Oryctolagus cuniculus: one gene and its partners. The protein of the gene in region 1 interacts with the protein of each later gene in a biochemical or structural test. Links are inferred from orthologs where the notes say so. Each region holds a gene or a part of one and is shown in the gene's direction. Other genes may lie near its edges.

The links.
Region 2: the proteins of RNF40 (region 1) and UBE2A form a complex in vitro, tested with the Homo sapiens proteins (3 studies listed by BioGRID). The link is inferred for Oryctolagus cuniculus from reciprocal best matches to the Homo sapiens genes RNF40 and UBE2A.
Region 3: the proteins of RNF40 (region 1) and WW domain-containing adapter protein with coiled-coil form a complex in vitro, tested with the Homo sapiens proteins (2 studies listed by BioGRID). The link is inferred for Oryctolagus cuniculus from reciprocal best matches to the Homo sapiens genes RNF40 and WAC.

The regions. Positions count from the first base shown.
Region 1 is NC_091450.1:6,348,349-6,352,000, reverse strand, and holds part of RNF40 (E3 ubiquitin-protein ligase BRE1B), read left to right. Parts: intron 1-67; coding exon 68-142; intron 143-638; coding exon 639-758; intron 759-845; coding exon 846-1,025; intron 1,026-1,127; coding exon 1,128-1,263; intron 1,264-2,006; coding exon 2,007-2,128; intron 2,129-2,213; coding exon 2,214-2,638; intron 2,639-2,727; coding exon 2,728-2,845; intron 2,846-2,950; coding exon 2,951-3,100; intron 3,101-3,267; coding exon 3,268-3,480; intron 3,481-3,556; coding exon 3,557-3,652.
Region 2 is NC_091453.1:73,512,773-73,515,889, reverse strand, and holds the end of UBE2A (ubiquitin-conjugating enzyme E2 A), read left to right. Parts: intron 1-5; coding exon 6-95; intron 96-895; coding exon 896-984; intron 985-1,274; coding exon 1,275-1,403; 3' UTR 1,404-2,547; downstream 2,548-3,117. UniProt on the Homo sapiens protein: E2 ubiquitin-conjugating enzyme that accepts ubiquitin from the ubiquitin-activating enzyme E1 and transfers it to a E3 ubiquitin-protein ligase. In vitro catalyzes 'Lys-11', as well as 'Lys-48'-linked polyubiquitination.
Region 3 is NC_091444.1:99,032,331-99,035,568, reverse strand, and holds part of WW domain-containing adapter protein with coiled-coil, read left to right. Parts: intron 1-672; coding exon 673-800; intron 801-3,238.

The DNA.
Region 1 (3,652 bases):
CGCCGCGGCTGGGCACCGGGGGCCCTGGGTCCTGCATTCACGCCGGTCATCTCTGTGCCCGTCGCAGCTCAACTCCGGCTACTACGTGTCTGGGAGCTCGTCGGGTTTCCAGGGGGGCCAGATCACGCTCAGCATGCAAAAGGTGAGCCGCGCTGGCCCTGCCGGCCTCCCGGAAGTCCCTGCAGCAGGGAGGAGAAGCCTCGCTCCCCCCGAGGCCTTGCCCCGCCACTCCTGCCACTCTGTCAGTCGTCAGGGGATGGTTCCCGAACACTGCGTACTGGGGACCCAGGCACATTGCAGAGAATAAGAGTGAAGGTTCTGTTTGGGTAAAGAAATAAGCCCCACGAGGAAAAAGCCCAGGAAAGACAGCAGGGGGAGTCCACGCTAGCGCTCCTGCATTTCGGGAATGCCTCCCTGTCTTCCTGTCGGTTAAGCGCCTTAGCGGACAGTGTTCCGTGCTCCCCTGAGATGTTAAGTGTTCTGCCTTGCCTTGGGCACCTGCCTTGGGCACCCCTAGGCAGGTCCCCGGTGTGGGGCCTCAGAATCTGTCCCTGCCGCTCGGGTGGGGCGTGGGTGTGATGTGAGTGGAGCCTGCTGCCTGACTCAGCCCTGCCCGCCATGCCCCTCTCGCCCCTTAGTTTGAGATGCTAAACGCAGAGTTGGAGGAGAACCAGGAGTTGGCCAACAGCCGCATGGCGGAGCTGGAGAAGCTGCAGGCGGAACTTCAGGGGGCTGTGCGGACCAATGAGCGCCTCAAGGTGAACTGGGGTAGGGCGGGGGCTGAGGGGGGCCTGGGCCTGCAGAGTCCCTGTACTGAGCCCTGCTTTGGGCCTCCGTGCACCCAGGTGGCCCTGCGGAGCCTCCCAGAGGAGGTGGTGCGGGAGACAGGGGAGTACCGGCTGCTGCAGGCCCAGTTCTCGCTGCTGTACAACGAGTCTCTGCAAGTGAAGACGCAGCTGGACGAGGCCCGGGGGCTGCTGCTGGCCACCAAGAACTCCCACCTGAGGCACATTGAGCACATGGAGGTGGGGCCCTGGAACAGGCCTGGGGGCTGCGCTACTAGGACTCGGGGGTTCCCTGTGCCTGCCCAGGGGTCGTATGGGTCCTAATGCCTTCACCCCGCACAGAGCGACGAGCTGGGGCTGCAGAAAAAGCTGCGCACGGAGGTCATCCAGCTGGAGGACACGCTGGCCCAGGTGCGCAAGGAGTACGAGATGCTGCGCATCGAGTTTGAGCAGAACCTGGCGGCCAACGAGCAGGCAGGTCGGTGGTGCACACGGGGCGGAGCGGGGCCTCCTGGGGTAGGGCTGCTGTTACCCAGATGTCCATCACAGAGCCCCAGCCTCCTCTGCAGAGCGGGGCCGGCACCGCCTGGCCACAGCCAGCAGAAGTGGCTGCCACAGCACGTGTAGCCGCGACAGGTGCTGTCAGTCCTGTCTGTGCCGCCCTGGCTTCTGGCGTCTTCTGTCAGATGCTCATTTTATAACGGTCGCTGAATGCCACCCACGAGCCAGGCCCTGTCTAGGCCTTGGGTTGTGCTAGTGAGCAGAATAGTTCCCCACGTCTGTTGTGGCACGCTGTTGTCATAGGGGAAGACAGCCAGAGGGTGGGTGTTAGCCAGGGAGAACACGCCAACGAGGAGGGAGGAAGGTTCTCTCAGGAGATGCCAGGAGGAGGTGCGTTGCCTGGAAGAGGCCTGGGCAGTGTAACTGACACAGGGCCCCTCGTGCTGAAAGGGCAGCCGCTGCCTTCTGTGAATTGTGTGGTTAGCAATTGCATCAAAGGAAGTTTGGAGCTATTTAGAAACCTCCATTAGCAAATGTAACAGGTCGGCAGTGCCAGGTTACTCCTGGGTGGGTTTCCTTTGGTGAGGTCATGTGCTGTGTAACCCACCCCACCCCTTGCACAGTGGCCCTGGTGGCTCTGGCTCCACCTCCTCCCCCACTGAGGGGTTGGGATCCCGACCCGGGACCAGCCTGACACTCTTGACCCTGACCCTCCTCCAGGCCCTATCAACCGGGAGATGCGCCACCTGATTAGCAGTCTGCAGAACCACAACCACCAGCTCAAGGGCGACGCCCAGCGATACAAGCGGAAGCTTCGCGAAGTGCAGGCTGAGATTGGCAAGGTGAGCGGGGCTGCCTGCGGGAAGCCTTGGCTAGACCTTGACCAGCCCGGTCTCGCCTCATCCCTGTTCCCCTCTATCCTTGCAGCTCCGGGCTCAGGCCAGTGGCTCTGCCCACTCCATTTCCAGCCTGGGCCACCCAGAGGACTCTGGCCTCAGTGCCCCGGCCCCAGGGAAAGAAGAGGGTGGGCCAGGCCCTGTCGCTACCCCCAACAGCAGGAAGGAGATGGCTTCGGCGCCCGGTGCCACCACTGCTACCTCCTTGAAGAAAGAGGAGCTGATTTCCCCTGAAGACGATGCCCAGGCCCTAACTCCCGGGGCACAGGGCCCTTCCTCCCGGGGCCGAGAACCCGAGACCAGGCCCAAGCGGGAGCTTCGGGAACGGGAAGGGCCCGGCCTGGGGCCCGCACCTGTAGCTTCAGCTCTCTCCAGAGCCGACCGGGAGAAGGCCAAGGTGGAGGAGGCCAAGAGGAAGGAGTCGGAGCTACTCAAGGGTCTCCGGGCAGAGCTCAAGTGAGGCCTTCCCTCCCCCTGCCTCCTGCCGCCGCCCCTGCCGCGTGGCCGCCAGCCCCGCCCACTGGGCCCTCCCGTGTCTCCCCCAGGAAGGCCCAGGAGAGCCAGAAGGAGATGAAGCTGCTGCTGGACATGTACAAGTCCGCGCCCAAGGAGCAGCGGGACAAGGTGCAGCTCATGGCCGCCGAACGCAAGGCCAAGGCTGAGGTGAGGGCAGGTGGGGCCTGGGGGTGCGCGGAGAGGCCGGCCTGTCCCTGGGCGCTGCGGCAGCGGGAAGCGGCACCCAGAGCTCCCTCATCATCATGGCCGCAGGTCGATGAGCTCAGGAGCCGCATCCGGGAACTGGAGGAGCGGGATCGGAGGGAGAGCAAGAAGATGGCGGACGAGGACGCCCTGCGCCGCATCCGGCAGGCAGAGGAGCAGATCGAGCACCTGCAGCGCAAGTTGGGCGCCACCAAGCAGGTGCGACCGTGGCGCTCCCCCGGCTAATGAGTGCTGGGGCTCCCTCAGCCCCTGCACAGGTGGCCCCTCGCTGGCCTCCTTCACACTGTAGTCCTTGGCCACGGTTTCCTGTGGTTCCCCCCGTGTCCATCTGCCGTGTCCCGTCTCGTCCCCGGCCCACACTGCAGGAGGAGGAGGCACTGCTGTCCGAGATGGATGTGACGGGTCAGGCCTTCGAGGACATGCAGGAGCAGAACGGGCGGCTGCTGCAGCAGCTGCGGGAGAAAGACGATGCCAACTTCAAGCTCATGTCCGAGCGCATCAAGGCCAACCAGATCCACAAGCTGCTGCGGGAGGAGAAGGACGAGCTGGGCGAGCAGGTGCTGGGCCTCAAGTCCCAGGTACGGCCGCCCCTCGCCCGAGCCGGGGAGCGGGGGAGGCTGGAGCTCCGCGCCCTGAGGCCTGCCCCGTCCGCAGGTGGACGCGCAGCTGCTGACCGTGCAGAAGCTGGAGGAGAAGGAGCGGGCCCTGCAGGGCAGCCTCGGCGGCGTGGAGAAGGAGCTGACGCTGCGC
Region 2 (3,117 bases), on another chromosome or scaffold:
TACAGGAACATTCAAACTTACAATAGAATTCACTGAAGAATATCCAAACAAGCCACCCACGGTTAGATTTGTCTCTAAGATGTTTCATCCAAATGGCAAGTATCACCTTTATAGAGTATTTTAAACTATCTCAGTGTTTGTTATGGAAGTATTCCACATTTCTTATTTCTAATACTTGAGTATTTGTTTAGGCATCTTGCTCTTTCCTGAAACTGAACTTGTTTGTGGTGATGTACTGCTGTTTAGATCTGTAGTCCTTGAGTTGAAGCAGTGAAGGTATTTTCCTTTTGCTTAGAGTCTCAGGGCCTCCTGGTTTCGACGATTTTTGCCATTTACTTGTCAGACAAAAATAAGATTTCCTTTTAATGCTAGGCGAGATTGGGTTACTCTTGTGTTCTAATTTTCACTGGCATTTAGAACAGTAGTTTTCAATATCAGATGCCTATCAGAGTTATCGTGGAACATTTGCAAGATATAGATGTCCTGACCCATATCTTTATGCCAAAATGAAACCTTGTGTCCCCTGAGCTATCTTGTGTTACTTCAGGTAGGAAATACAGTTTACAAATTTGGTGGAGTGAATTTGCCAAAAGGTCAATGGATGGCTAGGAACCCTGTTAGAAAATGTGTTTGATTTCCTGTATAATGGGGCAGTCTTTTCAGAAGAATGTGCACTAAGTATTTTCTAGCTTTATCCCTATCACATTTGACATTTTTTGATCACCCTGATTATTTCATGGGTAATGATTATGACCTGTCATTTTAGGCAGTTAACTGGGAAGCAGGCTAGGAATATTTTTTTCAACTTCAAAAGTAAAGTATTCTTGATTCTGTCTTTAATTAATATTAAAACCTTAGTGGTCTCACTTTAACATATCTACATCTATACTCTTAGTCTATGCAGATGGTAGTATATGTCTGGACATACTTCAGAACCGCTGGAGTCCAACCTATGATGTATCTTCCATTTTAACATCCATACAGGTGAGTTTTTTCTCAATATAACTACGACCTTTAATGTATTTATATTAGTAATTGTTTTTGAAAGTCATAACTTTAATAGGCCTTTTAATTCTGGGCAAAGACTTATTTTATAGGTAAAAGGTAGACCATTCAGACCCAGGCCACCAGAAAACACATTATTTGCATAGACACTAACAGATTAATGTAATGTACAGACAGTAAATTTAGCTGTGACTTAGGACAATTGTTACTATCTTATATAGTGTATTTCTTGCACTGAGGAACTGACATTTTCAATTTGTTCTTTACAGTCTCTATTGGATGAACCAAATCCCAATAGTCCAGCAAACAGCCAGGCTGCTCAGCTGTACCAGGAGAACAAGCGGGAATATGAAAAGCGTGTTTCTGCCATAGTAGAACAGAGCTGGCGTGATTGTTGACCCCAGAGGGAGCAAAAGAAAGTAACCATAAGAAAAAAATATATTGATGTATTTGTCACCTTCTTATTCCTCATTGTCATTAATTTACTTTATTAAAAGCAAAAAGCTGTTGTGCTGTTTCCATCTTCCCTTGCCGAACTGTTCCTAGCCCTTCTCCCCTCTCCTTGAACACCAGGCAACACCCTCTGTGACATCAAATGTACTGTACCTGGGTTACTTGCAACAATTACTAATGCTTAATTCCTTTTCTGTTGTATCTCATTTCCAGTCTTTGGCAATTATTTGTTACTGTACTTTACAGTAAGGTTTTTAAATGAATTGTTAACAAGTGGTTTCTTATGCATAGCTTTATGATGAAGATACTACTCTAAACAAAGTGATGGCTGAGGTGTTTCATCCTGGCTGGTCCTTCACTTGTATTGGGTTTAAAAGTGTTTAGACTGTGGCCTAGAGAGCAAGGAAACAAGCCATCCAAACATTAGTTTTGAAAGGGGAATGGAGGCCAAAAATTCCGATACAATCTTATGAATTATAAGATGATGTTTCCTGGTAGGAAGAATGTTGAAGGATGCAGCCAAATTAGTACAGCCATTGTAGTACCTGACACATCCTCTCCTTGCAAGACAGTGGTTAGCTACATCCATGCTAAGTTTCAGAACACCGGTTTTCTAGGGTTTTGCTTTTAAAGAGGTGTGGGAGCAGAGGAATGGAAACTCATCAATTTTGGAGCTAGGGAAAAGTTGGAGATCCTTTAGTCTTTCTAAAGGAGTGCAGTTGCCCTAGATAAACTTACAGTCCTCCATCTTTTTGTTGTTTAGTTTGACTTAATTCAAAGGGAGCATATCTGTGGCAAAGTATTTTCCACTCAAATTCTGAGTTACCGCTGCATGCTTTAGTTTCTTCCTCCTTTTCAACGTTATGACAACCTTAAAGCCAATGTCAGCAATCTTTCTTTCAATATTTACACTTTTAGATATAGTACCTTTAAGTAGCAGTGTGGGACAAGGCTTGTAAATGTTTTGTCTGATATTCCATTGTTATCTTTTATGCATTTATTGCTTTTCTAAATCTAACTTTGCACAAGTAACCCATGTAAAAAATGTACATTTTTCAAAACTTGTAAATAAAAATAACCTTAAAATTTTGCAGTCAAGGTATAATTACATTTTAGCTCAGTATGAATTTTAGTACTAACTCTTACTGGGATTTCTTTAAAAAAAAAAAAGATTTATTTTTATTTATTTGAAATAGTTATACAGAGAGGTAGAGACAGAGAGAGAGGTCTTTCATCCGATGGTTCACTCCCCAGATGGCCACAGCTGCCAGAGCTGAGCTGATCCAAAGTCAGGAGCCAGGAGCTTCTTCTGGGTGTCCCTCATGGGTGCAGGATCCCAAGGACTTGGGCCATCTACTGCTTTCCCAGGCCACAGCAGGGAGCTGGATCTGAAGAGGAACAGCTGAGACACGAACTGGCGGCCTTATGGGATGCCGGTGCTTCAGGCCAGGGCTTGAATCCACTGTGCCACAGCGCTGGCCCTTGGGGATTTCATACCTACTCATTTCCCCCCACCTCTTAAAGCAACAATACTGATTGTGGGAGTGGAAAAACAAAAAGGGTAGATATTGTTGGAGAGAATAATTTTTTCTTTTCAGTCTTAAGTGTTAATGCTTTTAAAAAATCTTTTAACAATATAAAATTAGGGATCGGTGCTAT
Region 3 (3,238 bases), on another chromosome or scaffold:
GTTAAAGACAGAGAGAAAAGTCTTCCATCTGCTGGTTCACTCCCCAAATAGCCACAGTGGCCAGAGCTAAGCTGATCAGGAGCGTCTTCCCACAGAGGTGCAGGGGCCCAAGCACTTGGGCCATCTTCCGCTGCTTTCCCAGGCCATAGCAGGGAGCTGGACTGGAAGAGGAGCAGCCGGAACACAAAATGGCGCGCCCACGTGGGATGCCGGCGCCACAGGCTGAGGCTCGGCCTACTGCACCACAGCTCCGGCCCTGCCATTTGCCTTTTTTATAACTGACCATCTGGGGTGTTCTGAAAGCTCACAGAGGATGTATTGTGTCTCCTGAAACAAATATAGCAGTGCTCTGCAGTCAGCATTACACCTGAACTTGTGATGACGATCGTCCTTACCTGAGCCGACATTGTATTAACCACACGTACTGAGACCCTCGTCCTGATACTGGAAAGGCTGTTTTCCGAAAAGTCCTGAAGAGGGGATTTAAAATGACTACTTTCCATGATTAGACATAGTTTTTTAAGAGAAATCTGCCATCCCATACACCTCACCTCCAACTTCTTGACCAGCATTTTTGCAGATTTTAAGAATTATTCTATAATAAGTTTCACTTAGAAACAGTGTTTTCTGTATGCAGATGTTTTTTATAATGTACTTTGTGTTTTATTACAGGCATCAAGATTGCGTGAAGAAGCCCACAATATGGGAAGTGTTCATATGTCGGAAATCTGTACTGAATTAAAAAACTTAAGATCTTTAGTTCGAGTCTGTGAAATTCAAGCAACTTTGCGAGAGCAAAGGTAGGTTTTTTGTTGACATTTTTATGTTTCTTAGAGTTCCGTACAGTTTCTCCACCCCCACGCCCTTGACCCGCTTGGGTCCGTTCTGGTAGCCCCGGTCAGTGGTTGTGATCATGGAAAGTGACCCTCTTCCATCCTCAGCGCTCACCACTGACTTGTGTGGTTTGAGGTGTGTCAGTGAAGCTAGGATAGATCCCCGCCCCCCCTTTTTTTTTTAAAGATTTATTTGTTTATTTGAAAGGCAGAGTTACAGAGAGGCAGAGAGAGAGGTCTTCATTCACTGTTCACTCCCCAAATGGCTTAAATGGCCAGAGCTGAGCCAGTTCGAAGCTAGGAGCTTCTTCCAGGTTTCCTGTGAGTGCAGGGGCCCAAGGAATTGCGCCATCTTCTGCAGCTTTCCCAGGCCATAGCAGAGAGCTGGATCAGAAGAAGAGCAACTAGGATTTGAACTGGCCCCCATATGGAATCCCAGCACTATAGGCGGCAGCTTTACCCACCATGCCACAACATTGGCCCTGAAGATGAATTCTTTTTTCTGCATCCTGTGTCTTCTCTTTGCCGGAATTGGCAGCATCACTACTCGTGTGCTTTGCGGCATGTGCAGTGAAGTAAAGGGTTACTTTAGGCGCCACACCAGTCTGCTGGCAGGAGTGGGCACTGTTGGTGTGCTGGGTGGCGGGAGGTGCTTCCCACCCCAAGCAGCAGATGAAGATGAACTTCCTCCAGGCACTTGGAACCGTGACCGTTGTAAACCTTAGGAGCACCTTGTTTCTGAAATTTTCCAGTGAATATTTAAGACCCTGAAGCTTTGGGGAAAGTGAAACCATAGATAAGTGGGGGACTGCTGTATTTTAAATTGAAGTAATCAAATTTTAAGTAGAAAACCTCTTTTATCGTCATTCTGTAACTTCATAATTTAACATTCCTGGTAAATAATCATGAAATTTTATCTCTTAACCCATGTAAGTGCTTTTGTAGTCTTTTTCTCTTACAACTCTGTAGGCCCCAGCACTAGATCATTGAAAAAGGAGAATGTTGTCAGCGGTAGTGTCTCTCTCAAGATGAGCACTCTAGTGCTGAAATTGCAAATTCCTAGTTAGATGATGATTTCCAAGGGACCTGTTGGTGATGGCTGGCACGTCGTGGCATGCCAGATCTGCTCGCTCCGTTCTCCAATTTCTTTAGTTATTCCCCCTAACATGAACTTGTAAGTCCCAATAAATAACACAAGCATTTTTAATGTCTGTTTAAAGATTAAGCACAAACGTTGTATACGCCACCGGGTCATAGGGTTAATCTTGTCATGAAAACAAAATATTTGCCAGATAACAAAGTTGGGATATATTAAACTTGGAAAGTGAGTTTTTAACGTTTTCAATGACTGAACTATCTGGAATTGCTTTTATGACCAGCAGTTGGGATTCTGTTACCTTAGAGTTCTGAGAGGAGTTCTGACAAACGAAGCTTCATTTTGCCTTGCTAAGCAGATCGTTTGACTTTTAGGAAATCATTCTGTTTATTACTGCATCTAAGGAAAAAGGTGTATACAACCAGGTATCAAGCCAGTATCTGATTCACCCATGTAGGTGACAAGTAGGTCACAGGAGAGGAGATATGTTGGAGTCCATGCAAATCCAGGTCACTAAACTGTGGGATTTGTACTTTAATTTTAAAGTCTTCAAACTTTTCATGTTCCTGTTGAGATTGTTCTTGCAAGGATTAGCCTCTTGGAAGCCTGCATTGTGGCTTGGGGGCTTAAGCCACCACCTGTGATGCTAGCGTCCCATCTGAGCCCTGGCTGCTCCAGTTCTGATCCCAGGTACCCACTAATGCACTGGGAAAGCAGCGGAAGATGGCCCAGGTGCTTGGGTCCTTACACATGTGTTGGAGAGTAGGATGGACTTCCGGCTGCTGGCTTCTGCTTGCCCTGGCCATTTGGGAAGTGAACCAGTAGATTGGAGATATCTTTCCCCACCCCTCACCCCCAGCTCCGCCTTTCAAATAAACAGTAGATATTTTTAAAAAATTAGCCTCTTGGCCGGCGCCGTGGCTCAATAGGCTAATCCTCCACCATGCGGCGCCGGCACACCGGGTTCTAGTCCCGGTCGGGGCGCCGGATTCTGTCCCGGTTGCCCCTCTTCCAGGCCAGCTCTCTGCTATGGCCAGGGAGTGCAGTGGAGGATGGCCCAGGTGCTTGGGCCCTGCACCCCATGGGAGACCAGGAAAAGCACCTGGATCCTGGCTCCTGCCATCGGATCAGCGCGGTGCGCCGGCTGCAGCGGCGGCCATTGGAGGGTGATCCAACGGCAAAGGAAGACCTTTCTCTCTCTGTCTCTCTCTCACTGTCCACTCTGCCTGTCAAAAAAAAAAAAAAAAAAAAAAAAAAATTAGCCTCTTGAACCTAGTTAATTCTAGTCTTAAAATATTGTGGGTCAGAA